Linked DNA regions of Tamandua tetradactyla. The protein of the gene in region 2 binds, or shares a complex with, the protein of the main gene of each other region. Links are inferred from orthologs where the notes say so. Each region holds a gene or a part of one and is shown on either strand. Other genes may lie near its edges.

Region 1 (7,267 bases), on a different chromosome or scaffold from region 2:
GCATGACTTGCTTTCTCATATCCTTCCGGGCTTCCCTCAAAGACCATTTTCTCAGTGAGGCCTTCCCGGACCATTCTATTCACATCGCCACCCTGACAGCACTCTCTTTTCCTCTCCCCGGTTTGATGTTTCCTCATAGTATGTATCACCTTCTTACACAGTGTATATTTTACTCATTTTGTGCCCTCCCCTCCCCACTCTAGCATGTTAGCGTCATTCAAGTTTTTATCTGTACGAATGAGATACTTCTGTATCCCCAGAGCCCAGGATACTGTCTGGCACATAGTAGGTATTTAATAAATATTTGTTAAATCGAATTTAAAAAGCTGTCAGAAAAGGTGACTGAAATTCTGATCTCTTTAAAAACAAAACAGTTTGGGGGAATGGTGAGGGTGAGTTAATGCTACCTTGTTAAAAAAGCCCTCGAGGAAGGGTAAAAAAATAAATGTGTATTTGCACCGGGAGAGGCAACTGGGCAAGACACTGTGCACCTTGGGAGAACGGCTTGCGGCTGTATAGCATTGGGGAGAGAGGACTGCATCTGCGAACACCCGCGCTGCCCGCCCACACCATGTGGATACTTGTCTACTAGGCAGGTGCTTTCTTTTAAGTTGTTTGGTCTTTGCCTCTAGCAACTTGCGAAAGATACAGAACTCTGGGGTGGCCTACGTGACACTTCTCAGCTCTAAGTATGAAACCAACAGGAGTGAAAACAACAAACTAGGTTCTGAGTCTTGGGGAAGCAGAGCCCATTTTAGAGCAGCGCCCGCAGAGCAGAACTTTCTGTCCTCTACTCAGGCTCCGCCTTTGTACTGTTTATCTGAACATTTCTCCCTGGTTTACTAGCCTAGCCTGCAGCTGAATACTTTCCACAGGAGGATGGTGCTCTGATCTCCACGTTCCCTCTTCCCTCGGGGACTCCATAGTATTTTTTCACGCTTCGTCGCTACTACAGCAGACGCCTGCTTTCTCATTATTTGCTGTACAGATCTCCGGTGACTTGACTGTAAACAAAACACTTTAGATCATAGCAAGGTCATAAGCACAGCCTTTCTGCTGGCAGCCAGACTTCTTAAGGTGGCGTGACTGATTCATTTAGTTTTCAAGTTTAGCAAAGCAACAAAATGGTGTTCCTACCTATTAATCGAAGAAAAATTGTGTAGGGGATAAAAGTGTTACTCTTCCACTGTTATACAAGTGGAATTTTGTGTAATTCCACTTACGTTTTTACATGAATAACATCAAACTTCTGTGTAAGGTAATACTCAAGAATTTCTCCATTGACTTACATCTGGTAGTTTGTGTATTTGTGCATATTTACACACATGCACACATATAATATAGAATTCCTGTGTAGTCTAGAAAATATTTAAAAATTTGGACAAGCAGAAACTCTGAAACCCAGAGTTACCAGTGTCTACAAGAGTTCCAACATGTTGCATTCCCCTACCCCATAATATTGACACCCCTTTTCAACATGGAGAAGTTAGAATGGTCATTACCTAAATATCCCTAAAGAGTGGGAGAAGGATCAAGGGAGAAGGAGGAGTTCTAATAAAGAAGACAGGATTTAACCAATGAATATGACTACTGACTCATTATATTGGTATTTCTTTTTAGTCTCCACTGTCTTAGAGCAGCTAGGAGACTGCTCTAAGGTGAAATTTCAATTGAAAGGTGAAAATATTCCCCTAAGGATCAATGTCCATCTTAGGAAGTTTGTTATAAAGCTACTATGTCCTCATGTCTGATTTTATTATTTGGGCATTTATTTTTCTGCTCTCCCTTGAAACTTGAAACTTAACCATCAGTTTGGTCTTGAGCAAGGCGGTGGAAGTTAAATCAGGATGGGCAGGTCTGTCATATCTCAGACATAACTCAATGAGTCATTAACTGTCTCCCCCTACCCCAACTCCCATATCATACATAGAAATTTGTTCTCTAACTTCTTGTTAAAATATGCTTTGCAATTTACCACTTTTTTGTATATATGGTATATTTCACAATAAAAAATGTTTTAAAAAATTGGGCAAGAATGATCTAATTTCAAGGGTAAAGTATAAACTACCTGGTAATGAGGGCTGTTCTAACTTTCCTGTTCACCCATCCCCAATCCAATATTTTAAATGGGCCATTAAATGCAGAAAAACAAAGAGGATGAGAATGCCTACTTTGATCCCAGCTGAATTATTTTCTGTTGGTCAGGTAGGAAGCCCTGACTTTGAAACCACTTCTGGGCACTGTCTTTGTCACTCTTTCTGCATAGCACCTGTGTCCTTTTGGAATGTGCACTTTAGTTGAAGTAGTTGATAGTGATGCCAAAGGCCAGTGTCCTCTGCATTAAAATATCCGTGACCATAAGCCAAATTATGGAAACATCTGCAGGCAGTCTAGGGCCTGGGAAGGAGCCATTTTGAATCACTTGTACTAGAAGAGGACTTGCAGGCTACAGCACAAGGGAACTCAGACGGAAACGTGAACCAATGGGGATCATTAGAAAGGAAAGGAGCAGAAAATGAACCAGACTGAGAGTTAGGAGACCTTGTCTAGTCCTAACTCTGGTACCAACTGGATGTGTGTCCCTGGACAGGAAACCTCTCCAAGTCTCAATTTCCTCACTGGTCAAATAAGAGAGTTGAACCACGGGGTCCTGACAATCTTCCCAGCTCCAACCATTTTGGAGTGTATACAATGAGGAAGACATGTAAAATGGACAAACAAGATGTGGCTGTGAAAGCAAGCTAAAGAGCAAACTCATCTAGCATGAAGGCATGAGAAAATATTGTTGCTGTGTAATATTTGCAGTGAATAAATTTCCTGTAAAATGTCTTAACTTTGACCCAAACTAAAATAGTGTGTATTGGGAGCTGGGGTGGGAGGCAGTTAAAAACTCATTGGGTTATGTCTGAGATATGACAGACCTGCCCATCCTGATTCAACCTCCACTGCCTTGCTCAAGACCAAACTGATGGTTAAGTTTCAAGTTTCAAGGGAGAGCAGAAAAATAAATGCCCAAATAATAACATCAGACCTGAGGTAGCTTTATAACAAACTTCCTAAGATGGACATTGATCCTTAGGGGAATATGTTCACCTTTCAACAGCTTGCAACGCCTTAAAAGCGTTCACTCTCATCTGATTGATGTTCTGGGTGGGTTGGAGCAGTGAATCTGGTGGGAGAGAAAGGTGGAGGAAGGAAGGAGCTGTTGTGTTTGGCGCCGGGACACAGGTAGAGGAAACTGCTACATTCCGGGAAAGAATTATAAAGTATAAAGAGAAGGAGACGAGTCCCCACATGCAGCCAGTGTCAGTACCCTTAACTGTACTTGGGAAACAAGAACTTGAGCCAGGAGTATAACCTCACTTTTCAAACCTAAATGTATCTGAGATGGCTACAAAGTTTATTAAGGGACTTGGGAAACCTAGGGGACCAGTGCAGCTTTTGATCTCGGGACCCTTTCTTTTTTATTGCAGGAAAGCTTGAGTTCAGAATATATTAAAAATGCTGTCCCTACTCCCGGCTAATTTATAGAAAGCGGACAGCCCTGACTTCTACCCTAAGCCCCCTGACTCCCCTTGGATAACAGAGACTCCTGGATTAAGGATGAACTAATCACCGCCCACCTTCACTCCACAACTAAGACACTCAGGCGGGAAGGTGGTGGTGGTGGTATTCCCAACCCTTAGTAAATGTTTGCCGGCCTCCTCAGCAGTCCGCGAAGTGGGGGGCGGGGGTGGGAGCACTAGTGAGAGATCAGCAGACCAACGCTCCCGCACTCTGCCTCTGCCCCTCAACCGCCCGCACCCGGGGTCGGCGAGTGCTGGGAAAATAAGATCGCCACCGAAGCTCAACACAATCTGCAAGCACCCTTAGAGACCTTCGGGTCCAGCCCCTTCGCTTCACAGCGAGGAGCTAGAAGTCAGGTTTTACCAGCCGCAGCGGGCCAGACTGCGCAGCGCCGGGACCAGAACCCCAGGCCCCGCCTGCCCTGCCGCCGAGGCCCCTCCCCAGCTTCCCGGCCGTTTGGCTAGTTTGTTTGTCTTATTTTTAATTTCTCCGGGGCCAGCCAGAGCAGGTTTGTTGGCAGCAGTACACCTCCAGCAATCACGCGACCAGCCAATCTCCTTGCTGCACTCTCCGAGTCGGCGCGCCCAGACCGCGCCTGGGCCACCTTAAGGCCGCGCTCGCCAGCCTCGGCGGGGCGGCTCCCGGCGTAGCAACCAATGGATCTCTTCCTCTGTTTAAATAGACTTGCGGTGTCAATCATTTTCTTCTTCGTCAGCCTCCCTTCCACCGCCATATTGGGCCACTAAAAAAAGGGGGCTCGTCTTTTCGGGGTGTTTTTCTCCCCCTCCCCTCTCCCCACTTTCTCGCCACGCTGCGATTCTGACGCCGGCAAGGTTTGGAGAGCGGCTTGATTCGCGGGACCGGCGGGTTAGCTGCTGCCGGGACTTGGACTGGCTTTTCCACCTCCTCCCCCTGCCTCCTCCCCTCCGCTCCCCGCCCTCCAGCTCGCCCGCACACTTGATCCGCGGAGACTGTCGGCACTGCCTCTCCGGGGCTTCCCCTTCCCCCTCCCCCAGACCCAGTGCGCTCCTGAAGCCGGGGCAGTTACTTGTTAGTGTTTGTTGGTCTTGGCTCGGAGGGCATCGCGGGGCTTATAAAAGGGGGTTGGGTTGGATCGGGGCGTTTTGTTTTGTTCGGTTTTGTTTTTTTGAGAGCGCGAGAGAGGCGGTAGTAAAGACCCGGGAGGAAAATGTCAAACGTGCGAGTGTCTAACGGGAGCCCGAGCCTGGAGCGGATGGACGGCAGACAGGCGGAGTACCCCAAGCCCTCCGCCTGCAGGAACCTCTTCGGCCCCGTGAATCACGAAGAGTTAACCCGGGACTTGGAGAAGCACTGCAGAGACATGGAAGAGGCAAGCCAGCGCAAGTGGAATTTTGATTTTCAGAATCACAAGCCCCTGGAGGGGAAATACGAGTGGCAAGAGGTGGAAAAGAGCAACTTGCCCGAGTTTTACTACAGACCCCCGCGGCCACCCAAAGGCGCCTGCAAGGTGCCCGCACAGGAGAGCCAGGATGTCAGCGGGAACCGCCAGGCTGTGCCTTTAATTGGGTCCCCAGCAAACTCAGAGGACACACATTTGGTAGACCAAAAAACTGATACAGCAGACAGCCAGACGGGGTTAGCGGAGCAGTGCAATGGGATAAGGAAACGACCTGCAACAGACGGTAATGACCCTTTCAAAATAATAAAATGTCTGTCTGTCTGTCTGGGGCCCCGCTTTGCCTGGTTGGGGCGGGGGTGGGGGGGGCGGTGGTGGCCCACGTCTTTACCTAAAAGTTTTCTTTCTTTTCGGTGTACTTTGTTGTAGCTTTTGGTTGTGAACTTTATTAATCTTAGCTTGTACGTGCTACCTGACTGTTTGTTTATGATGTTTAAATCAGAAGCTGGAGATTGTAGTATCTGAGCATTTCTCTCACCGCAGTTCCCGCCCCCGCCCTGCTAGGCAGCTGTAGTAATGTGGGTGTTTATCAACGGTCTCCCTCTCCGCTAGGCAGAGAGAGATTTGGGGCGTAGAATTCACTTTCTGTTATGTGAAAACAACTTTATTTTGTGCACTAAAAGGCCACTGGTGATTGTGGGTAGAGGTGGTGGGCTTTTCATTCCACGAGTTGACTCACGGGCCAACTTTTGTCAGCCATTGCTTTTTTCTAACAAAGCTTGTTTGTGTTTTGTTTTCCTAAAATTCCTCCTTGCCCCTAGATTCTGCTCCTCAAAACAAGAAAGCCAACAGAACAGAAGAAAATGTTTCAGACAGTTCCCCGAACGCTGGTTCAGTGGAGCAGACGCCCAAGAAGCCGGGCCTCAGAAGACGTCAAACGTAAATCATTTGGTGGGTTGATCACTAAGGCATATAACTGACACCCAAACTGGGCTGCAGGAACCCGTGGACCTTCAGACTCCAAGATAGCTGATCTGACTGGTTGCTGGCAGATTAGGAGCTTATGGGGTTTTGTGATGTTTATATTTTGTGAGATCAGAAAAGTAGGATGAAGAAGGCTTGGAATCACTCTGGGGATACTGTAATTCTTCAACGTTTCCCTTGATACACTGAACTAGAACAAGTGTCCCAGGCAAGCAGTGGTAGTGAGGGCCCATTGCTAGGAATGTCATTTCCCTGTCAGCCCCACCAAAACATGCTGAGAACAATAGGTTCTTTCCCCATCTGAACAAAACTGGGGTAAGCCTCAGTCCCACTTCATGAGAATTCATTTCAGAGGTTCTGGAGGATTCAGTAGATTCTAAGCCATACACAGAAATGATTAAATTTAAAATTTGAGGGAAGAATTAGGTACAAATAACTCCATTTGGTTAATCAAGTGGTTAGAAATGTGAATAGGGTGGTATGTTGCTATCTTTTATCTTTTGTCACTTTCACAGACTGTCACTTTTCCTGTTTTCTTGCAAGTTTTTGGGAGAGAGAAGGAAACTGCATATTTAAAAAAAATCCAAAATGGAACGCTCAAATATACTAAACTATACTACAGTGGTAGCACTGAAGTTGGGAAGCAGAAGTTAAATTTACTCTACCAGAGAAGCAATCCATGACCACGTCAGCATGCGTATGCTAATCGTGCTGTAATAGAACGATTTGGATATTTGTAGGGGAAATGGACAGTAGATACCAGGGCTTCCTGAGGATAGATTTAACCAGTACAAGGGAAGGGGAGAATTCTGTCTACTAAAATCTGATCTACGCAAATAGCTAATTTGTATAATTCAGCACCAAATTTTCTTAGATTATAGCGATTTATAATAATGAAATTACTTATATTCTAATAGCTTACAGACTTTTTAAGGACAAGGACCCCGATATCTTTTTCCCCCCAAAAAATATACTATACTTAAATATCTGAATAAATGTTGATATTAATGTTTCAAATCATTTATAAAAATTTTAAAATAAAAACACAGGGATTTAAGTGGGAATCAAGTTTGTTCTATTTTTAAGCAATTTGGAATGTAATATATATGATTTCTCCTTATACGTGTGATATTTTTTAGAGCTTATACAAAACAGCACTATAGAACCTTTATATTACAGTTCTATATGAAATGAGGAAGTTTGTAAAAAAATTCCCTTAATACCTGAAGCTCTACTGGTCTGATAGCTTTGCTCTTCAAAACCACAGTAAATCAGATCTACTGGCACACAGAGAAGCATTTGTCCATAAATATTGCCAATTCAGGAATACTAGAAATA
Region 2 (6,881 bases):
GGGCCATTGGTCACTAACACTCTTGTGTCCCAGCTGCGCTTTCTCTCACTTGCCCGTTTTCTCTCCTGCTTTGTTGTCTGCTGCCCCAGTCCTGGCCTTTCTCTGGGGGAGAGGCAGATGCTATGATAGCACCTGTTCCCACTGCCAGGGCCCCTGTAGGCTTCCTTGTTCTTCCCAATCCTGCTAACCCTCTCTCTTCTCCTTCTTTGCTGTCCTGTCCTGGATCTCCAGTGTGTGCTGGGGCTTAAGGACCTCCTGAGGACCGCTGCTCTCTGCCTCTCCAGGGGTGGCCTTGGGGAAGCCAGGCACCCGGCACCCCCACCTGCCTAACCTGTGGCCCGTCTGCCACCATCTGTGCCTACAGGGTCTGCCCCCAAGTCTGCCCCACATGTGTGCTCTCTTGGCACAGCCCCCTCCAAAAGAGGACGGGGCTGACCTCTTTGCCCCCCATCCACGCTCCATGCTGGCCAGAGTGTAGAAAGCCATAATGCAGCTGTCAGCACAATAATGTAATACTATGCTGAAACTCTCCCTTCCCACCTCCCCTTACTTTCCCTTCCCCAGATTTGTGAGGTGGCAAGACCCTAGGAATCTTGCCTTACAATCTCCCCCAACTCCCCACCCCCCCACCCCCCCAAAAAATGGCCGGCATTGCCATAGTCAGGTTGAGCAGGTTTCTTCAGGAGCCATCTGGAGTGCTGATGGTTGATGACGCTGCTGAACAAGTTTGGTGACTGTTCTAAGCACAACTGGCTTGACACTGTTCCCACGGCCCCCTCCACCCCCACAACCTGGAATAGGTAAGGATGCAAGGAGGGTGCTTGTACCTTTAGCTCCAGGCACTGACTGCCCCATGTTTTCAGAAGAATTAAAGGAAACTGGACCAGGCCTTGGAAACCAGTTGAACCCAGGGTCGGGGGCTGCTTGTCTGCTGTCCTGTACCTTTTTTAACCAAAATAAAGATACCCCTTTTCTTGCCATACTCTCGACTGTCTGCTGCCGCCTTTACTGTGGGGGCTGGGGGTAGAGTCTGTGGTCAGTGTGCAAGACAACATATGGCTATCTCTCACCTCTAGCTTTGTTCCAGCTTGTCTAGAGATTTTAAAAGACACACACACATACACACACACACACAATAAAGCCAAAAGAGACAAGAGTAGCCAGCATCCTTATCACTCTGCACCTCCACAACTCCGGTCTCAGTTCCAGGGATCCCCAAACCCAGGCTGAGACAGAGAGTTTAGCCCCAGTTCGTGGCTGTCACACTTTTGAATTGAGCCCCACCCAGGGTAACAATCTCATGGAATTTATCCTGTCCCCAGCTGCTGCCCAACATCCAGTCAAACACATACAGTGTGCAAGAGCTAGAAAATAATCACAGCTACCATTTACCAAGGACTGACCAAACACCAGACCCCTTTTCTTACCTTAACCAATGACGAAGGTGCTGTCAGTCCTGTTTTACTGCAGCTCAGGGCAGTTACAGGACCTGCCCTTGGTCACCTTGCTGGTAAAGCAGCAAATCCAGGATTTGCACCTGATCCCTGCCCTGATCTCTGGCCTGTCTGCCCTACCTAAGGAGTGATGAGGGCTGTTCCAGGAGAGTGGGCACTGCAGAGGGAGTGACCCAAACAGAGGAGAATGTCAGAGACAGCAGAAAGGGGGCTTAGAAAAAATCTGGGCCAGCCTCTTCAAATTGTATTGATGGGGAAACCAAGGCCCAGAGGCAGGCAGAGACTTACCCAAGGCCTTATATACAGAGCTGGAATGTAGTCCTATACCCTGACCTCGTACCATTTTCTTTCTACAAATTCCACACTATCTCCTAGACTAGATTGGTTTAGGAAATGAGGGATACTCTAAACAGCAGTACCATGAGGAGAAAAAAACAAAACAGCTGAGTCTCTTAAAATGTATCTGCTCCCAAAGGCAACTACCGTAGTGAGCTCTAAAAGAGCTGGAAAACTAGCCTCTTCTTCACAACTAAATGGGAAGAAGGTGCCATAGCCTCCTCGTGTCACCTTTTAGTTCGAACATTCCAAGACTGAAAAATTTCCTAGGAAGTTCTTTCTGAATCTAACTAGAGTCTTTCTTACTGCAGTCAAAGCCCTGTTCTCTGTTCTTGTGAAAGTAGATAGCAATTGGTTACTGTGTCACAACCCTTCCACTAGGAATTGATTGTCTATAGGCCCAGAGACCTTGAGGCTGCTGATAGGACAGATGCTGTGTGGAGGGGTGGGGAGGTTAGTAGAAGGGATGGGGAAAGTACCATTGAGCAGCAGCCCCAACTTCTGTCCTGCTGACTCAGGTGACTGACAGTGGAGCTCTGTGCTATGCCAGGACCTGCTGCCTCCTGCCTGTCTGGGCTCTGGACTTGGGAAACAGAAGCCTGGAGGCAAAGGGAGGTGCAGGAACTGAGTCAGGACTGACAGGCCAGAGCGAGCAAGAGGTTTCTAGCAACCTGTCTCCCAGATTCACCCCTGAGCTTCGGCAGGGGAGGGGCAGGTATGAAGGGGGACTCCTTTCCCTTGCTCTGGGGCTGTGCTGAGGGCATAGAGCTTTGGCATGAATCACCACCAGGTCCCCTGGCTTAAATGGTGGGAAGGGAGGACTCCCTGGAGTCCAAAGAAGTTTCCTGGTACCCTGGGACCTCGAGCTTTCCCCTCAGGACTTGGGAAAGCCTGGCTAAATGACTAGTGCAAAGGAAAGTACTTGAGGGCCCACAGCCTTCCTTAGACCAGAGGAATGTCCTAGATGGAGAGAGAAGAGGCAAGGTTTCAGCACATCTGTCCATTCATTCAGCTGGAGAGGGGAGAATGTGGGCCAACATTGCCTCCTTCTCTCTCCTGTGGGTGCCCAGCTGGGCAACATCTGGTCTTCGACTGAGGTCTGGTTGACAGCTCTTCCTCATTTCATAAACCCAGCTCCATGTTAATGCTTTGTGTGAATATGTTTATATAAGAAAGTTGGTTGGTTTTTTCACATAATAATAATAGTTACTGTAGTCACCACCACTCTCAAGTGCTTTCCCTGGACTCATTTAATCCTCACAAGTCTCATTTTACATTTAGGGAAACTGTGGCTCACAGAGATTAAGTAACTTGACCAAGGCCACAACAGTTTGTAGTGAATGAACCCAAGCAGTCCATCCAAAGATACTAGGCTGTGTTCTGTCTTTCATAGAAAATGATACATATTCACTACTGAAAATTTGGAAAGGATAGGAAAATCCCAAAGCAGAAAAGTCAGAGCCTCACTATCTAAAGTTACCCTCTATAAGTTGACATTTTAGTGTATTTCCTTTCCATCGTTTTCTGTGTCAGTGCTCCAAATTGAGCAGAGTCTTTGGGATGTCTAGCCTAAAATCCTTTCTGCTTCCTTGGAAAACCTAGGTCTAGGCATAAGCCTAGACATGTCCCTACTCTTCCATGAAGCAAAGAGGCATACCTCATCTTTGGGCTCCTTCCAGGAGGGCAGGGTGGGTGTTCAGATACCAAGAGGAACCAGGGAAGGCACAGCCCTGCAAAGCGGTCCTAGCTCAAGGATTAGACTGGTTGAGTTCCAGCAAGGGCAGTCCCTCCCCTGAGTCCCAGATGAGCTTTGGCTAGGGGTGGGGCAGATAAGAGGAATCCACTCTCATAGGCTCAGTGCCAATACCCTTAGGTGAAACTCTGGAATGACTGGAGGGCAGGGCTCAGTGAGCAGGGACAGAAGGTTGGCAAGGAGAAGATTCCATCTTTGGGACCTCTGCCAGGGGTCAGAGGTGGTGTAATGGGCAAAGGGAAGGGATAGGGAAACTTCTGAGAGGCTAGGCTGAGGAAGGAGTATATGCTGGATTGATGCCCCATAAAACAAAATGGTATGTGTCACCACCACCTCCATTTCCTCAGTACTGTCTCTCTCCCCACATTGCTGGCGTCCCCCCTGGGGAATCAGACCGGGCTGAGTACCCACGTGGTCTGCTTCCCACCCTCTGACAGAAGAGCAGGCTGAGTCAGGCAGGAAAGTGGGACAGCCAAGGAACTGGGCCCTCACCCCCCATGAGCCCTGCTGATACATAATGATGGCAGGTGGCTTGGAGGGGGCAGGTGGCCTAGCACAGAGAGCCAGAGAGTAAGTCCTCAAACAAGTGGCAACAGGCCACTGACTTGAAAGGGAAAATTGTGCTGTGATAGGGAAGGTGCCTGACAAACCTATTGCGTGACTAATTACAAAGGCCGGATTGGAGCGTCAGTGGCCGCTTGTTAAACACCTCATTAAGTGGCACCCTGAAAGCTGCCACCTCTGTAGTCTGGGAGCTCAAAGGGACCAGGACCCTGAGGGGAAATGAGGACGAGAGCTTGGGACCTTCTTCAGGGTCTAAATACAGCCTGGAGCTCACAGATCATAAAAGGCCTTGATGGGAGAGAAACCAAAGGAAGTAGGGTACAGAAGGGAGAGTCATAGGGATTTACTAGCTATGTGACCTTGAGCAAATTTCATCCCTCTCTGAGCCTCAGTTTTTCCATCTTTGAAGTGGGAACAGTGCTGCCCACCTTACAAAGCCATAGTAGGAAAAAAATTAGATCATGGATATGAAGTGCTTGGGAAACTGTATAATCCCACCTAAACATGAGTTACCTCATCTGAACCAAGGAGGCAGGATGAGGAACCCCATCCTCCTGTACCTGTCTATATGGGCACTGCCTGGGCTAAGTAGCCAGGTGGCTGATGCCATCTGTTTCCCCTGGAAAGATGCTGTGAAGGAGGATCTAATATGAGAAACCCAGACAGCTAAAAGGAACACCCGTGTAATGGCAGTCCTGAACAAGAGGAGGCAGCCAGGAGCCCCAAAAGGTGTTGGTGCAGGTGGGGCCCACTCCTGCATTTCTCCTGCTGACTGTTCTGATGACTCACCTCCACGTCCTGGCCCTTTTACCTTTAAGGAAGAGCCGGAAAGGGTGTGGGGAGAAGAGGAGAGGGAAGTAGGTCCCAGGCCTTAGTCCCTCCCCCTACCACTCCCCACCCTCCTCTGGGCCAGGCCACCCAGCCAAAAGGCAGGCGGAAAGCAGGAGAGGCACAGAGCTGAGTCCAGCATTGGTCCTGAGGCAGCTAGTAAGCCCAGCGCCTGTACGACTGTCCCCAGAGCCATGGAGAGAGCCAGTCTGATCCAGAAGGCCAAGTTGGCAGAGCAATCTGAACGCTATGAGGACATGGCAGCCTTCATGAAGGGCGCTGTGGAGAAGGGTGAGGAGCTATCCTGTGAAGAGCGCAACCTGCTCTCTGTGGCCTACAAGAACGTGGTCGGTGGCCAGAGGGCCGCCTGGAGGGTGCTGTCCAGTATCGAGCAGAAAAGCAATGAGGAGGGCTCGGAAGAGAAAGGGCCCGAGGTGCGAGAGTACCGGGAGAAGGTGGAGACCGAGCTCCAAGGCGTCTGCAACACTGTGCTCGGCCTGCTGGACACCCATCTCATCAAGGAGGCGGGTGATGCCGAGAGCCGGGTCTTCTACCTGAAGATGAAGGGCGACTACTACCGCTATCTAGCTGAGGTGGCCACAGGTGATGACAAGAAGCGCATCATCGACTCAGCCCGGTCGGCCTACCAGGAGGCCATGGACATCAGCAAGAAGGAGATGCCGCCCACCCACCCCATCCGCCTGGGCCTGGCCCTGAACTTTTCCGTCTTTCACTATGAGATTGCCAACAGCCCCGAGGAGGCCATCTCGCTGGCCAAGACCACCTTCGATGAGGCCATGGCTGACCTGCACACCCTCAGCGAGGACTCCTACAAAGACAGCACCCTCATCATGCAGCTGCTGCGAGACAACCTGACGCTGTGGACGGCCGACAACACTGGGGAGGAAGGGGTCGAGGCTCCTGAAGAGCCCCAGAGCTGAGCCGGGCCTGCCATCCACCCTGCCCTACCCCACCCTCTCCAGTCCCCCACCCCCGGCAGAGAGGACTCGTATGGGGTGGGAGGCCCGACCCTTCTCCCTTAATGCCCTGCCCTCAGCTCAGGAAGGCTCCATGGAGAGGAACCAGCAGAGCTGAGGCCACCTGGAGCCACAGCATCTCAGCTGTCAGGTGCTTGTGACCACTGATCTCCCCACCTGCCCCAGCTCTCTGCACCCCTTCCTCCGTATCCCGTCTGGGACCTGGGCCTCTTCTTCTTCTTCCTCTCCTGCCTCCCTCCTGCCCCTGCTGCCTCTGGATCTTCGGAATTGAGGAGTGTCCCACCCTTGTGTCTGAGAGGGGACTGTGGTGGGGAGGTTGGGAATGAGTGTGTGTGTGACCGTGTGTGTGAGTGTGAGAGCAAGATGGAGAATGAGAGGGAAAGCATGTTTGCTGGGTGTGACCATGTTTCCTCTCAATAAAGATCCCCTGTGACACTACTCCTGTCTTTTCCAGTTATTGTCGGTGGGCTGGGCCTGGGATTGGTGTATAATTTACAGAGACCGACTTTGGAGCTCTAGTTTAAGGGTCCCGACCTCCTCGAAGGGCCAACTCAGGCCCCACAGACGGGATTTTGGTGTGTGTGTGGGGGGGTGGCTCGAGATGAGAGGCAGATGGGCCAGCTCTCGTCAGGCTGGCCCCAAACAAACTGGGCCAAGGCGAGGGTGAGACTCCTCCGCCAGATTGAAGGGAGGTGAGGGATGCCTCAGTGCAGGAAGCCAGGGAGCTTGGGTCTGAGGAGGCAGGAAACTAGCGAGGGCTCAGGCTGAGGTCTCAGGACAAGGCCCCTAGCACGAGCGCTCCAGATTTGAAAGCCAAGAAAAGTCCCATTAAGTGTTCAGATCTGGGCGGGGAAAGGGAGTATGAGGCAAGGGTATGACGCCGCCATTAAAAGTTCAGATCTGAGGAGAGGGGAGAACAGAATGAAACGCGCTGTTGGGAAAGAGGCG
Region 3 (7,676 bases), on a different chromosome or scaffold from region 2:
CGAAGCTCTCCCTGGCGGCCTGAGACATGACTCCCAGGGATAAGTTCGGCACTTACACTGTAGGATCAACAATTCCATCCTGACTAGAAGGGGGAAAAGAAGTGTAACTAATAAAGTATCAGCGGCTGAGAGAGTTCAAATAGAGTCGAGAAGCTACTCTGGAGGTCACTGTTATTCAAGCTTCAGTTAGACATTGCTACCTATCATAACTTGCCAACCCCCAACCAAAACCATTCCAGCCAATCCTAAAGAACACCTAGGGCAATATAAAAGATTCTACAAAATTCCATGCACTAGGGTAACTTTCCAGAAACCTTACAACCTCCAAATGGGTCCCTGGACCAGATAAGTCCTGAAACCTAGAGGGCCCAGCCTCTCCAGAACATCAGCTAGCTCCTTCTTCCTATCCAATACTACTGACAGCCCCTTCCAACATGAAAAAATTAGAATGGGCATAGCCCAAATACCCCTAAAGAGAGGGAAGAAATATCAAAGGTGATGGTGGAGTTATACAGAGAAGATAGGTTTTAACAAATGAACATGATTACTAAATCATTAAATTGATATTTTAGTCTCCAGTATTTTAGAGCAGCTAGAAGTAAAAACCTAAAATTGAGGAACCGTAACCCATACCAAAACTCTGAAATCTGTTCTACAACTAATTGTGGTGCTGTGCTTTGAAATTTATTGCTTTTTTGTATACGTCATTTTTCATAAAAAAGAAAAAATGTCGATTGTAATGATAAAAAGTATTTATTCCTTCTAGCCTTCTATATTCTGGAATAGCTAGAAGGAAAAATCTGGGAGAATGGTATGGCAGCCCATGACAAACTCTGGGATCTGTCCTGTAACAATTGGTTGAACAGTGCTTTGAAAACTATTGCTTCTTTCTTTCTTTGCTTTGTATATATGTTATATTGTACAATAAAAAAGTTTAAAAAAAAAAAAAGAACAACCTTGAGAATTCAATGGACCACAGGCTTAATCTAAATTAATAGTTTAACAAGACTGCTGAAAGAGAAAAGAAAAAGAATCCTGTCTTCCATTGCATTAATAGATTCACATCAAAGACAAGCCCAGCAAATCTCACTCTCATTGATTATATGGAATTTCGAACATTTAGACATAAGAGGATACTGATGAAGTAAAATGGATTCACAGGAAAACAACGAAGCCACTGTGAGTCTGAAGACAAGCTGAAGTAAATAAATTCATATGCCAAGTATTCCCGGTGTCCGGCTATACAAAAAATACAAAACAAACAAAAAAAACCAGCATGTACTTTTCTGACTCTCATTATAACAGACTTTTTGTCATTAAATACATCAGGTGCTCTTTGAGACACTGTTTTCTGGGGAACACTGTATCAACTGACACTCGCACCATTACTGTAGGAGCATTCTATCTGCCCCATATTTTCATCCATACTTGTTATATTCTTTTGAATTTTAGTCATTCTAGTACGTGTGTAGTGGTGTTGCAATGTGTTTTTTAATTTGTAATTGCCTGGTGGCTAATGATGTTGAGTATTGTTTCACATTTATTTGCTTTTTGGATCTCCTCTTTTGTCATCCTCAGTTATGTACAATAAACATTAATAAATCAAAACTATTGAAATTGCCTACACTCTTCACTCAATAACCACCACAGAATAGTTTGAAGAAATGTTTCTTCCTTTCTTCTATAATTTTTATTTTTCATAGAATTATAATTGCCTCATTTTTCTCATTCATTTTTTTCAAATAACCAAACAATATAATTTCTCAAAAAACTCAAAATTAGCCTATAAAGTCAATTATTTTAAATAAATCTAGCAAAAAAGTACAAGTCTATACTCTGAAAACTACAAAATGTTGCTGAAACAAATTAAAGAACACAAAAATAAATGAAAAGCATAACATCTTCATGGATTAGAAAACCTAACATTGCTAAAACAGCAATGCTCCTCAAATTAATCTACAGACTCCATACAATCACTATCAGAATCCCAGCTGATTTCTTTGTAGAAACTGACAAGCTGATTTTAAAATTCATGTGGAATTGCAAAGGACCCAGAATAGCCAAAACAATTTTGAAAAAGAAGAACAAGGTAAGAGGACTCACACTTCCCAATTTCAAAATTTACTACAAAGCAACAGTAATCAAGAAAGTTTGGTACCGGGCGGGCCGCGGTGGCTCAGCGGGCAAAGTGCTTGCCTGCTATGCCGGAGGACCTCGGTTCGATTCCCGGCCCCAGCCCATGTAACAAAAACAAAAAAACAAAATACAATAAAACAAGAAAATGTTTAAAGATGTTTCCCTTTCTTCCTTCCTTCCTTCCTTCTCTCTGTCTTTCCTTTAAAAAAAAAAAAAAGAAAGTTTGGTACCGGCATAAGAACAGAGATATAGATCAATGGAATATAATTGAGAGTCCATAAATACACCCATACATCTATTGTCACTGATTTTTCAAGAAGGATGCCAGGACCATTCAATGAGGAAAGAATTGTCTTTAAAACAAATAGTGTTGGGCAGGCCACAGTGGCTCAGCAGGCAGAATTCTTGCCTGCCATGCCAGAGACTAGGGTTCGATTCCCAGTGCCTGCTCAGGCAAAAAAAAAAAAAAAAAAAAAAAGTACTGGATAAACTGGATAGCCATAGGCAAAAGAATGAAATGGGACCCTTTCCTCATACCACATATAAAAATTTACTCAAGATTGGTCAAAGAACTAAAGATAAGAACTACAACTGCTAAACTCTTACAAGAAAACACAGAGTTAAGTCTTCCTGATATTAGCTTTTGCAGAGATTCTTAGATGTGACATAATAAGAACAAACAGCAAAAGAAAAAATAGGTAAACTGAACTTTGTGAATATCTGAAACTTTTGTGCTTCAAGAAAGTGAAAAGAAACCCACATTATGGGAGAAAGTATTGGCAAATTATGTATCTGATAAGGTTTTTGATATTTGGCATGTATAAAGAACTCTTACAACGAAAAAAATTAAAAGATAAATAACCTAATTTTAAAACAGGCAAAGGATCTGAATAGACACTTCTTCAAGGAAAATACACAAATGGCCAACAAACACACGCAGAGATGCTCAAGATCAGGGAAATGTAAGCCATGACCATGAGATATCATACCACACCCGCTAGGATGGCTAATAGAATAGAAAAGTCAGAGAACATGTTAGCAAGGCAATGGAGAATTTGGAAGCCTCAGACAGTACTGGTGGGAATGTAAAATGGTGCATTTACTTTGGAAAAGAGTCTGTCAATTCCTAAAATGGTTAAACGTAGAATTAAATGACCAGCAATTCCACCCTTAGGTATATATCCAAAAGAAACGAAAAACCTGGTTCACAAATGCTTAGCGCAGCATTATTCAAGTCAAGATAGAAACAACAAAAATGGCCATTATCAATGACAAACAAATTGATAAACAAAATCTGGTATATCCATACAATGGAATATTATTTGGCCACAAAAAGGAATGAAGTACCAATACATGACACATATTGGCTGAATATCGCAAACCCTATCCTAAGAAACCATTCACAAAATCCCATTTATTATCTGATTTCTTTCATATAAAAGTACAGAACAGTGAAATCAGAGACAGAAAGCAGATTAGTGGTTGCTTAGGGAAGTAATAGCTAAAGGGCATGGTTTTGTTTGGTTTTTTTTTGGAAGTGATGAAAATGTTCTAAAATTGACTGTAGTGATGGTTGCAAATATCTGCGAATTTACTAAAAATCACCGAATTATACAGTTTAAATGGATGACTTGTATGATATGTGAATTATATCTCAAAAATTGTTTCAAAAAATACAGAAGCAGTGATTTTCTGTAGGCAGAATTCCTCCATTTAAGTCAGGCATTCCTTAGTATCGTTGCCTTAAAATTCATTAAATACTTAGTGTGGACTTGTTATGGAATATAATGTTTGCATTCATACTCTATGCAACTACACAATAGTCACCTAAGTAGAAAGATGTTTGTCAAGAAGGGTGGAAAGACAGATTTTGTTGCTGTTGTTGTTGGCATTAAGGACTGCGTGCATTTCTCCCAGATCTGTAGGAAATAAATCCTTGCAGTCTTACCTGGAATCAGAGGCAAGGGCTCTTTCAGGGTCATTTTCAGTATCTCTCTATATAGTTATGGAAATTAGGGAGGAGAAGGAAGGCAGATTCCTAGTACAGGAGCATATAACTAGAGCTGAACCACTGAGCGTGCTGCACTCCTATAGGGTTTATCAACTACCTCTCACTCCTCAAGTAACTAGAAGTGAGGGAAGACGGGCGTCTAGTTCGGCAAATTTACCGTTACGGCCACGCCGGGCTCATTTTGTGTGGGGCCCTAGGAAACCACCAGGCGCCCAGAAGCGCTTTCTGCACAGGCGCAGAGTCGCCACGCGAACTCCGCTCGTCCTCCCCCTACACCTCCCCCTCCCCCTCCCCTTACCCCTACCCCCAGCCCCACCCGCTCCATCTCCATCTCCCGACTTTGGGCCGGAAGAAAATTCGCCGGGCTGGGAGGGTCCGCTCACCAATCGGACTTCAGCCAGCAGGCCGCTGAGAGGGACTTCCCCGAAAGGAAAATTTCCAAACCCGGGGCGGGGGAGTGGGGCGGGAGGAGAGAGAACATAAGAAGCGCCCCCGGGTCCCTCCCCGTCCCTCACTTCCCTGGCCCAGCCGCAGCCTCCCCGGATCTCCCGGGGCTCACGCGGGGCGGGAGTTTGCCCGGGAGGCCTGCCTCTCGCGGGCGCAGTGTCCGCCACTGACGTAGCCTGAGAAGTTTGGGGGGAGGAGCTCGGCGGCCCGGCCCGGGTGGCGGGGTGCGGCTGGGAGGAACCCGTCCCGGATAGGAAGCTTCTCCTTGGCAAGGCGCGGCGCTCCTGAGCTCAACACTGTTTCCAGAAAAGAAGCGTCCGCTCCAGCTCGGAAGAAGCAGCGGGCGGTGCAGGATCCGGCGTGAGCTGGAGAATGGGCGACCTTGTGACTTAGTGTTCGGAGTAGGAAGGCCCTCGCTTGCCTGGCGCAGGGGCGCTTCCCGGAGCCCGAGCGCTGGCGGAGAAGCCGCAGGAACGGCGGGGCCGAGCCGCGGCGGGCAAACCGGGAACCAGCCTTGGCCAGAGTGTCCGCGCCGCCGCAACCATGAACGGGGAGGCCATCTGCAGCGCCCTGCCCACCATCCCCTACCAGAAGCTCGCCGACCTGCGCTACCTGAGCCGCGGCGCCTCGGGCACCGTGTCGTCCGCCCGCCACTCGGACTGGCGCGTTCAGGTGGCAGTGAAGCACCTGCACATCCACACTCCGCTGCTCGACAGGTAGGGCGCCAGCGCGGTTCCCGGGCCGACCCCGAGACCAGCTGCACCCCTCTCCGCAGACGCCTGTCCGGGGCCAGCGGATTTTGGATCCCAAACGGCAGTGACCACTCCCCTCATCAACTCTTGGTTGTTCTGCAAGGCCTGGGGCTGGCGTGGTGGGGAGAGCGCGCTGGCTCTGCGGAGGCAGCAATTGGACTCTTACGCTCATCTCGTGTAGCCTCTGCCCTTTCTCTTCTGCCCTCCTTTCCTCCTCTTTTACTCTCCTAGGTTTCCTCTCTGCATTTACTAAAACCCAGCAATAACAGCCCAACTCTGAATGCCCTATTTATTGAAATTGATGTGTGTTTTTCGAGGGGGCGTGGTTGTGTTTGCTTTGGTTGTTTCTGTGTATGTGTGTGTGTGTTTAAGTGGTTCTAGAGCTGGGCTGTCCTCCAATACGTTGCTCGCAGTAAGCCACAGGCAATCTTTGAGCTCTTGAAATGCGGCGGTCCAAATTGAAATGTGTTGTAATTGTAGAATATACACCGGATTTTGAAGACTTACTATGAAAAAAAACCATCAAATATTTCTGTATTTCATATGTTACGTGCTGAATGGTAACTTTATCCAAATTCATTTTTCCTGTTTCCTTTTACTTTTTACAATGCTACTGCTAGAAATGACATATATGGCCCCCCTTGTATTTCTATTGGACAGCGCTCCACTACAGTCTGAGATATTTTAGAGGTTTGAACTTTTTGTTGTTTTTGTTTTGTTCGTGGTCGTGAAAGTTTAAATATCAAAACCACACCCAAAGGAAATCTGTTTTATTTTTGCACTAACATAAGCTGAGGACTGTTAAATGGTCAAAGAAAATGCCTCTGGCGTCCTGGAAAAAAAAATAGTGCAGTGTATAGGTTTCAAGGGAAAGCTAGCATTGATTTCTCTTTCCAGGGAAACTGCTATCATACTTGCAGACCTGTGGCTGAATGTATTAGTTAGTGGGTCCAGTCACTAGTTTTGTGTTCTGTCCTTGCAATAGGGATTTAACTAGGTAGGCCCTGCACTAGTTAAAATTCCTAAGAGCAGCACTCTGTTCTTGACCTGTACCTAATTCAAAATACTTGGTACCAGATCCCTGATTGGATACAAGCAGTTAGTGTCCAATATCAGATCGAGTCCTCAGCTTTCAGCCTGCCAATGTTACTGGATTTTCACCTTCCTGTACCCTTTCTTTACGGCCTCTTACTATCAGGCTTGGGCGGGCTGTAGATTTGGGACGCTTCTGGAGATTGTCCCCCCTTTTTGTATGCCATCATCCCAGGACAGTGACATACAGGGTGTGGTGTCTGTTTACCCTGGGCCTGTAATTCTGTGGAGCAAGTGCTGAGCAAGTATGTGTGTGAAGTCAACTTTGAAGGGTGTTGGTTGGTCAGAGAGGGTGGATATATTTTAGAACCATCTATGCAAATGGAAATTTAGCACTGAGGGACCCATACGATATATATTTTTTAAATTTATTTATTTATTAATTTAAAAATTAAGAAGCCAAATAAAACATCAATGTATATAATCAGTAATTCACAATATCATCACTTAGTTGCATATTCATCATTTCTTAGAACATTTGCATTAATTCAGAAAAAGAAATAAAAAGACAATAGAAAAAGAAATAAAACAAACACAGGAAAGAAAAAAAAAAGATTGTACCTACCATACCCCTTATCCCTCACTTTCATTGATCACTAGCATTTCAAACTAAATTTATTTTAGCATTTGTTCCCCCTATTATTTATTTTTATTCCACCTATATGATATTTTAAAGCATGTTGGTCCTTCTCCCGTTTTGAATGCTGCTGCTGCATCTCAAGATTTTAATTTAAATTCTAAGCTTTGTGCCATTTGGAGGCAAAAGAGTGAAGGGGGAGGGAAAACATTCTCCCTCCATACTCATTACACAATTTTCATAGTCTAAAGGTCGCCTGTAGAATTGGGTAGGAAATTAATTCTGTCTTCAAAGAAGCCTCAAAAACAAGAGAAATGCATTGAACTTACTGTGGCATTGCCATACCTCCTTCTTTTGTACCATTTGTTACTTAAGATCTTAATATTAGCAGTATTTTTGTAGTCTGAGTTTAAGGTTGAGCCATGCAGTTGACTCACAAGGTGTCCATTTCCTCATTTATAAAGTGGGACTAATAAATACATGTACTTGGGCCCTGGCATGGATATTGGTTGAATTGTTCTTTTAGATCAACTGAATATAAAAAGATTTATGTTCATGATATATGTCCTTATTTTAGTGATTGGGGAATCATTCTTCATAACCTGCCTTCTACCAATGAGAAAACCTTTGCCAAAACCTCCCCACCCACAAGGAGTAGAGG
Region 4 (7,196 bases), on a different chromosome or scaffold from region 2:
ACCCTCACCTGCTGGCCTCTAAGCTTCTTCAGGCAAGAGCGATTTTCATCTGTGAATCCCCTCTACCCCCATGTACAGTCCTTGTTATCTGTGAAGTCCTTGTTGTCAGGAAGGTCATCTTCTTCACCAGGCCTAGCCAATCACAACATTCTATTCTCTGGCTCAGGGCTTGGCGCAAGGATAAGCCAATGAGAGGGAGTCCTGGGGCTTTGGATGGAGCTATTGGAGAAGTCCTCTCTTTCCCTGGAGTAGCTAAGTTAGTACCATGGGAGGCTCTAGGCTCTGGGGGTCCATCTTGGTTAATGTGAGGGAAAAGGCTGCCTGAGATGAGCCCAAAAAAGGAATACAGAGCCGAGAAAGTGACGTTCCCACAACACTGTCCTAACACCTGGATCCATCCATGCCTGAAAGCATCAACTTTTGGATTTCTTAGTTGCACTAACCAAAAATTCTTCCATTCTGGTTAAGTTTCCTTGAATTGGGGATCCATTGTAATTCTTTCCCAGGGCTGGTGCTATCAGTTCAATTGCACAGGGGAGGGGATAGATGGAGATGTCACCTGCTTCATTTCCTGAAGGGGGCCCACAGCCTTGGATGCACTGGCCACCTTGGCAGGAGTTGGGGCTGCTGCGTTGGATCTTCCTTCTGGTTTCTTGGCTCCTGCTGAGAAGCCCCTAATTGAGTTAGAGGGCCTAATAGGAGAGGCTTCCAAGGGCATTGATGAAGAAAGGTTTCAGGCCTGGGGGTGGCAATAGATGGGACTAAAACAGGTACCTGCTGCATGTTGACTGCTGGGGGCTAGAGACTCGGGCTGCAGCCACCAAAAGTCAGCTGGGGTTGGGCCTGCAGGCTGGCGTTCCTCTCGGCTTGTGGGCTGGGCCTGGCGGAACCGGTTTATATACCTGTGAGCATAAGGGCATGGGAAGTAGGTGGAAAGAGGTGAGCCAAATAATAAAAAAAATAATAATAACAGTAGACAGTGTTTATCAAGCACCATGGCAGAGCCTGGTAGTTGCTCCTCTTTGTTTGTTCTCTTCTCTCACAAAGTAATGCCATTTTTAGCTGGGCATACAGCCGTTCTTCTATAGCCTACACTTCCTAGATGCCCTTGTAGTCTTGAGGCCATGTGATTAGGTTTGGACTAACAAGATGGACTAACAAATGTGATTCTGGAAAGTGGATGTAGCTGGGACCATTTTGGTTCATGAAGGTAAGGGTAATAGCCTAGGGATGGGAGAACAGTAAGACACAAGGAGCCTAGGGGCTGCCTTATCAGTGCTAAGTGTTTCTGCGTGAACCGTCAGGAAAGAGAAATAAATTCTCTTGTTCAAGCCGCGATTATTTTGAGATTCATTGTTATAGCAGCTGAACCTGTATTCTACAAATCAAAGTGCTCACTCTGTGACAGGCATTGTTATGGATGCTTTACATACAGTAAATCATTGAAAACTCAAAACAGCCCTAGGGGATAGGTGCTATTAGTATCCCAAATTTACAGATGAAGAAACTGAGGCGAAGATCACACAGATAGGCTACAGGGTTGGAATTTGAACCCAGACAGTACAGTTCCAGAACCTAAACTCTAAATAACACACATGAAGTACTTGGTCCTAAAAGAGTACTGCATAAACAGCTCTGGCTGTGATGACTATTCTGGGATGCGTGCCTTCTCCCTCTGACCCAAACTTTCCTTTCCCCTTAGGCTTCTGGTGGTACTTACTTGGCCACCACGGAGTCCTCACTGTCTGCCAAGATGGGTGGTGGTAGGGCTCCCATCTGTCCCTCAGAGGTGCTGGTTGTGGAAGGAGTGCCTGAGCTGGATGGCCAGGACTCCTCAAATAGCTCAGGGGAGTTGGGAGCTGTGGCCAGAGCCTGGGGAACTGCTGGTAGCCTGGATCTGTGGTGCTGGAATGGGTTCAGGGCCTAAGACAGAGGAGAGGAAGAGATGAAACAGTGAGGTCTGAGTAGGCATTCCTATAGCAGGACAAAGACACACATGATGTCTCAGTCCAGAGAAGAAGAAACACATCCCACAGTGGTAACCACTCAGACGGATAGGGACTGTGGTAGAGGAACTAGGTGGTAGAGGGCTGGACAAGGGCAGGGCCTTTGGGGGAGTGGGGGCCCGGGACTGTCTCTTAACCTCTCACCCTCATCTCTTATCCCTTGTTTACCTTCCCTCTAGCTGTCACTCCCTTGCTACTGGGCTGGCACACATTACTCTCTGTGGGGTGTCCTTACCTTGGGGCACCAGGTCTGGCTTCTGGATAGGCTGTAATGGCTTGGAGTCAGGGAGTGTCCCTAAAAAGTCTGCCTTGTATGGAGAACACTGGCAGACTGCAAGGGGAGAATGGAGTGGGGCGCGGTGTGGAGTGGGGGGTGGTAACAGGACCAGACTATAATTCTCATGGATCTCTGGAAGAGATGTCTAATTTTCATAAGACACCGATGCTTATTCAATGTAAAGATACCGGAGGCAGAATTTCCATGAACCCTCTGAGCAGGACCCAGGAACTGCTAGCTGGCGGTTCTCAACGTTCGATCCAGTCTAGGAGGGCCTCTTAAAAATACGTATGTTCAGTCCCCACCCTAGACCCAAAGAATCAGGGTATCTATAAGTGGAGCTAGGCATCCCTATCTTTTTCAAAGCGTTCCCGGTGATTTTGATGCAGTTTGCGGTGTTAAGAACCATTGCTAGACCATAAATCACTTGGGGCACTAAGGAGAAAAACAGAGGCGGACTACAATCCCCATGAGTCATTGGGCTTCACCAGACGCTAGAATACTGGAAAGACACCATGGGTGTCTGGAGATAAATTCAAAAGAAAGAGACTTAATTCCCAAGATGCCCTTGGGCACCTTTAGAGGAAAGAAGCCCTTGGGGCCACAAAGCAAAACATAAGATACTTAGAGGACCACCCCCCCGCCCCGGGATGGTGAAGTCCAAGGCTGGAGGGGTAACGGGAGGTGAGGCATATTGGGAATTGTAGTTCCAGTGAGGTTGAAAGCGAGAGATTCGCGACTCTGCCCATAGGCTCTTTCGCCCTCATCCCTCGGTCCTCCTCAGGCCTCCTGTTATCCCCGGAAGAAGGATCTGTCTTACTTGCGGTCCATCTCGTGGCCCTGAGGGCGCCAGTTCCGCTCCTTCACCTACAGGCCCCGCGCGCATCTCTGTCGTTTAGCAATGCTCCTCAGCCCCGCCCCTCTCTGGTAGTGTTCGCGCGGAAAAAGAGCGGCCCCCCAAGGCAGCCAATGAACGGGAGGAAAATAGAGCTAACTGTAAAGTGGCCAAAGGGAGAAGTTTCGTGACTGGCTGTAACGAGAGAGCATGTTTGAATGGTGAGCCTATACCGGGCAGCAGTGATTGGCAAGCCTGTAAACGAATGGAAAGGATCTAAGGCCGCTCGGCGTCTTGCTGTAGAATTACCTTTCGGATTCCAATCTAACCACTGTACTTCTGGTTGCAGGGACAATCTGGGAGTCTTTTCTCTCGCTAACCATCGTCCATCAGTTTAGCCAGCCAGCAGTCCTGTCGGTTATCTAATCACATCCCTCTTGTATACAGGAGCAGCTGGTTGAGCCAGGCGCCAGGTCTGGGCACCTGGCCGAGGTGGCAGGATCAAAAGGAGCTATTTCGGGCCTCGGCCCCGGGGGGCCAGCCTGTACTGTTGGTGCCTGCGACCCCTGGACGCTGCTCACCTGGCAGATCCTGCTGCCTGTGTACCCGAGGCTGAGTCAGAGGAACAGAATTAGGCCCGGCTTGCTAGGAGGCTGATCCCAGGGCCCAGCGGAGGGTGGGGGTAGGATCTGTTCTGTGTCTTTTTGACAACCTGCCCGGTCGCTGCATTTCCCTTACCCAGGATTCTGCCCCCAAGGCCGCCATCTGCGTCATCCCCAGAGCTGCCTGGAGAGTGGGGGTGTATTAAAAGGGCCGGGGGCTCTGTAGTGGGGTTCTTGGCCTTGGGTCCCAAACGCCGCGCCTCCCCCTCCCTGGCAAGGCTGCCTCCAAGGGAAGTTGGGGGCTCTTAATGACACCTCCCTGGCTGCCTTTGCTAGACATGCAGCAGGCGTTCAATAAATGGCCAAGTCATTGTTGGGGGTTTCTAAATAAGGCTCTACTAATGGCCAGGTCTGGCCGCGGTCCCGGTGTCCCTGGGCGGCCCGCCGAGGGGCGGGCATAGGGGTGCGCTATAAGGCGGCTGCCGCGTACGCAGAGGCACTGCGGCGCCCAGGGCGGCGGCGGCGACGGCGGAGCAGGATGGAGATCCCGGTGCCTGTACAGCCGACTTGGCTGCGCCGTGCCTCGGCCCCACTGCCCGGCCTTTCGGCGCCCGGGCGCCTCTTTGACCAGCGCTTCGGCGAGGGGCTACTCGAGGCCGAACTGGCTGCAGTCTGCCCCCCAGCGCTCGCCCCCTACTACCTGCGCGCACCCAGCGTGGCGCTGCCCGTAGCCCAGGTGCCAAGCCTGGGGGAGGGGCAGTAACCCGGTCACTCCGGAGGCCAGGGGTCCGGGTCTTCCTGAGGGGGTTGAGGGAATGTCCGATGACTTTTAGTGGGGTGTAGAATCCCGGCCACTTGGAGGAGATTCCAGAGTCCCCCAAGGGTGGAATTCAGCCTTCTGAGAGGAGTGGAGGCACCGGGTTACTGAAGAGCTTGGGAGGTTTCTGTCGCTCTGAGGGGGTGGAAAGGCTCATCACCCTTAGGGTGGGGCGTTCACTCTGAAGAAAGAGGGGAGAGCCCAGTCATTCTCAGAAGCTCGGAGGAGCCCCCCAGTGACTCCCGAAGCGTGGTATGTTCTGGTATTCTAGGGAGAGATTGGAGATTGGAGTGTGGGGGGCCCGATGTCTCCTGGAAAGATAGAGGTGTGTGGGGGGGGCGGGTCCTGTGACCTGGGAAGTGGGCCCTGGCCACTGAGAAGTGGGGGAGGAGAACCAGTAATTGCCGAGGGCCAGAGGGGTCCTGTGATTCTAACCTAGAGACTGGGGGAATAGGCGTCTTCGTGATTTCTGGCCTGGATAGGGAACGGAATCCGGTGACTGAGAAGTGGGAAGTCAGTGCCCCAGGGGGAGCGGTGATAAGGGGTCATTAACACCGGAGGTGGGAGTCAGGTTTCGGTACCTTGTAAAGGTGGAAGTTCCCGACCTTGCAAGAAAAGGAAGCCACATCACCCTGGGTGAGAAGTGGATCCCAATGCTGACTTGGGGAGAGGGACCCTACTCCGTCACACGGAGGACTCCCCAGTTCCGGAGGCGCGGGTCAGAGGAGCTGGGGCGGGGTAGCACCGAGGCCCATGCGAGAAGGGCCTTGATGGGTCCCGGGAGCCTTGCCCCTCCCGATGACAGTTCTGCCCCGCATGCTCAGGTGCCGACGGATCCTGGCCATTTCTCGGTGCTGCTGGACGTAAAGCACTTCTCACCGGAGGAGATTGCAGTCAAGGTGGTGGGTGAACACGTGGAGGTGCATGCGCGGCACGAGGAGCGCCCGGTGAGCTCTCTGGCGGGGGTGGGGCCGGAACGCTGTCTTGAAGGCCAGGCAGGCCGGGCGGGGCGAAGACCTTACTTTAAGAGCTTTGGGATGGTGGTTGCAGGGGCAGTGCCGCTCAAGCCTCTCCCCGTCCCCAGGATGAACACGGCTACATCGCACGCGAGTTCCACCGCCGCTACCGCTTGCCGCCGGGGGTGGACCCAGCCGCCGTGACGTCTGCTCTGTCCCCCGAGGGCGTCCTGTCCATCCAGGCTGCTCCCGCGTCGGCCCCGCCAGCTGCTGCCAAGTAGGGATCCGGGCACGCCTGAATCCCGGGCCTCCCCAGGCCCCCTCTTTTAAAGTCGACCTGACTCTGCCCAGCCAGATGTCCTGAGCGCGCCAAGACCACACAACACCCATCCGGGACCCTGCCCCGATACCAGGCCCTATACTCTCCGATACCCCCTCTCCCAACTTTCAGACCCTGCTCCCAATCCTTCTTTGCCTTCAGATCCTATGCCAGCACTACCCCTAGCCTTCAGCTCCCCTCCCCACTGATTCCATTCTTTTGGCAGATATCCCTATTCAAGACGCTCCTATTCTCCTCTTACTCTAGGAAGAAACCTCCTCTACACCCCCCACTTCAAACCCCTTCCCCTGGACTCCAGATTATGTGTACACAGCCCTGCCCCTACCCCAGAAGAGTCAGACTTAACTTCCCCCATTCCCCACACCCTACCCCTCACTGTCCCAGGCTCTGTACAAAACTCCCACCCAAGACCATCCGGGCTGGGTTCCCCAAACGGACTCTTTCCCTTAATCCAACCAGACACTCCACTCTCCCCACGCCCATCTTCTGTCTTGAAATCCCAGTTAGACAAATTTAGGCTTCTGAATCCCTTTTCTGATCCCCACCCTTGGACAGACCCCACTTGTCCCAGGTCAACCTGATCCCCACCCTCAAACTGTACAGACATCCCCCAATTTCCCCAGACTTTCTGCAGATACCCCAGGCCCCCTTCCCCAAGTCTAACACCTCAGCTCTTTGTTCTGACCCAAGTCCCCAGCCAGATATCCCAAGCAATTCACCTTCCACACTTCTCTATTCATCCTCAATCAAGCAGATGCTCCCCTTCATTCCCCACCTTGCTCCCTCCTTGAACTCCCTGCTGCCCTGCCCCACTGTCCCCACCTAGGCCCACTCTCCCAATAAATGTGCTGGAGCTGTACCAGCTGCCTGTTTTTGGGTAGAGAGAGATAGGATGGAGCAAGCAGAGGCCAGTGTGGAGGAGGGAGTTGTTTATTGGGGTAGGGAGACAGGGGCACATCACTGTCGGTCATACATCTCTCGTAGGATCTTCATGCTTTCTGAATAACGGAGCTGGTTCCGATGAGATGCCTCCTTCCACCTGGGGTGGGATTGGGGGTCAGAGGGAAGGCTCAGCAGTTGGGGCAGAGACCATAGAAGGGCAGGCAGGTGTAGGAGATGCTTACCTCTGGCGGATGCGTTTCCAACGCTGCATGTTGAGGTAGATGAGTGTGGAGGGTGAGGGCTCAGGCTCAGAGGGCTGTGGGGACAGAGGTTAGGCTAGGTGGCTGTGCCCCGAGGCTAATACCATGTGCCCCACTCCCAGCCCCAGGCCAGTCTTGCATACCCACCTCATCATCAGGGGTACCCTGGGTCTCAGGCTGCAGTGGGGATGGAATGCGGGATCTGCAGGTATCTCCGGGTG

Evidence for each region.
Region 1: the proteins of SFN (region 2) and CDKN1B are in contact, whole or in part, in a crystal structure (PDB 7ORG), measured with the Homo sapiens proteins. The link is inferred for Tamandua tetradactyla from reciprocal best matches to the Homo sapiens genes SFN and CDKN1B. Residues at the interface, in NP_006133.1 of Homo sapiens: Lys49, Arg56, Arg60, Arg129, Tyr130, Glu133, Leu174, Asn175, Val178, Glu182, Leu222, Asp225, Asn226, Leu229, Trp230; in NP_004055.1 of Homo sapiens: Arg194, Arg195, Arg196, Gln197, Thr198.
Region 3: the proteins of SFN (region 2) and RIPK2 are in contact, whole or in part, in a crystal structure (PDB 7OBS), measured with the Homo sapiens proteins. The link is inferred for Tamandua tetradactyla from reciprocal best matches to the Homo sapiens genes SFN and RIPK2. Residues at the interface, in NP_006133.1 of Homo sapiens: Lys49, Arg56, Arg60, Lys122, Asp126, Arg129, Tyr130, Pro167, Gly171, Leu174, Asn175, Val178, Tyr181, Glu182, Ile219, Leu222, Asp225, Asn226, Leu229, Trp230; in NP_003812.1 of Homo sapiens: Leu535, Gln536, Asn537, Lys538, Ser539, Met540.
Region 4: the proteins of SFN (region 2) and HSPB6 are in contact, whole or in part, in a crystal structure (PDB 5LTW), measured with the Homo sapiens proteins. The link is inferred for Tamandua tetradactyla from reciprocal best matches to the Homo sapiens genes SFN and HSPB6. Residues at the interface, in NP_006133.1 of Homo sapiens: Val46, Lys49, Asn50, Arg56, Arg60, Lys122, Arg129, Tyr130, Glu133, Gly171, Leu174, Asn175, Val178, Glu182, Met202, Leu205, Glu210, Tyr213, Leu218, Ile219, Leu222, Arg224, Asp225, Asn226, Thr228, Leu229; in NP_653218.1 of Homo sapiens: Pro9, Trp11, Leu12, Arg13, Arg14, Ala15, Ser16, Ala17, Pro18, Leu19, Ser84, Pro85, Glu86, Pro107, Asp108, Glu109.

What each region holds. Positions count from the first base shown.
Region 1 is NC_135333.1:75,264,570-75,271,836, forward strand, and holds the start of CDKN1B (cyclin-dependent kinase inhibitor 1B), read left to right. Parts: upstream 1-4,248; 5' UTR 4,249-4,756; coding exon 4,757-5,231; intron 5,232-5,766; coding exon 5,767-5,888; 3' UTR 5,889-5,896; intron 5,897-7,267. UniProt on the Homo sapiens protein: Important regulator of cell cycle progression. Inhibits the kinase activity of CDK2 bound to cyclin A, but has little inhibitory activity on CDK2 bound to SPDYA. Involved in G1 arrest. Potent inhibitor of cyclin E- and cyclin A-CDK2 complexes.
Region 2 is NC_135328.1:199,376,808-199,383,688, reverse strand, and holds SFN (14-3-3 protein sigma), read left to right. Parts: upstream 1-4,962; 5' UTR 4,963-5,129; coding exon 5,130-5,876; 3' UTR 5,877-6,371; downstream 6,372-6,881. UniProt on the Homo sapiens protein: Adapter protein implicated in the regulation of a large spectrum of both general and specialized signaling pathways. Binds to a large number of partners, usually by recognition of a phosphoserine or phosphothreonine motif.
Region 3 is NC_135332.1:133,084,274-133,091,949, forward strand, and holds the start of RIPK2 (receptor-interacting serine/threonine-protein kinase 2), read left to right. Parts: upstream 1-4,670; 5' UTR 4,671-5,137; coding exon 5,138-5,310; intron 5,311-7,676.
Region 4 is NC_135342.1:30,228,703-30,235,898, forward strand, and holds HSPB6 (heat shock protein beta-6), read left to right. Parts: upstream 1-4,205; 5' UTR 4,206-4,258; coding exon 4,259-4,456; intron 4,457-5,361; coding exon 5,362-5,484; intron 5,485-5,621; coding exon 5,622-5,774; 3' UTR 5,775-6,692; downstream 6,693-7,196. Other genes in the region: PROSER3 (proline and serine-rich protein 3), read right to left, coding at 560-663, 775-902, 1,721-1,923, 3,104-3,169; LIN37 (protein lin-37 homolog), read right to left, coding at 6,791-6,872, 6,958-7,031, 7,123-7,196. UniProt on the Homo sapiens protein: Small heat shock protein which functions as a molecular chaperone probably maintaining denatured proteins in a folding-competent state. Seems to have versatile functions in various biological processes.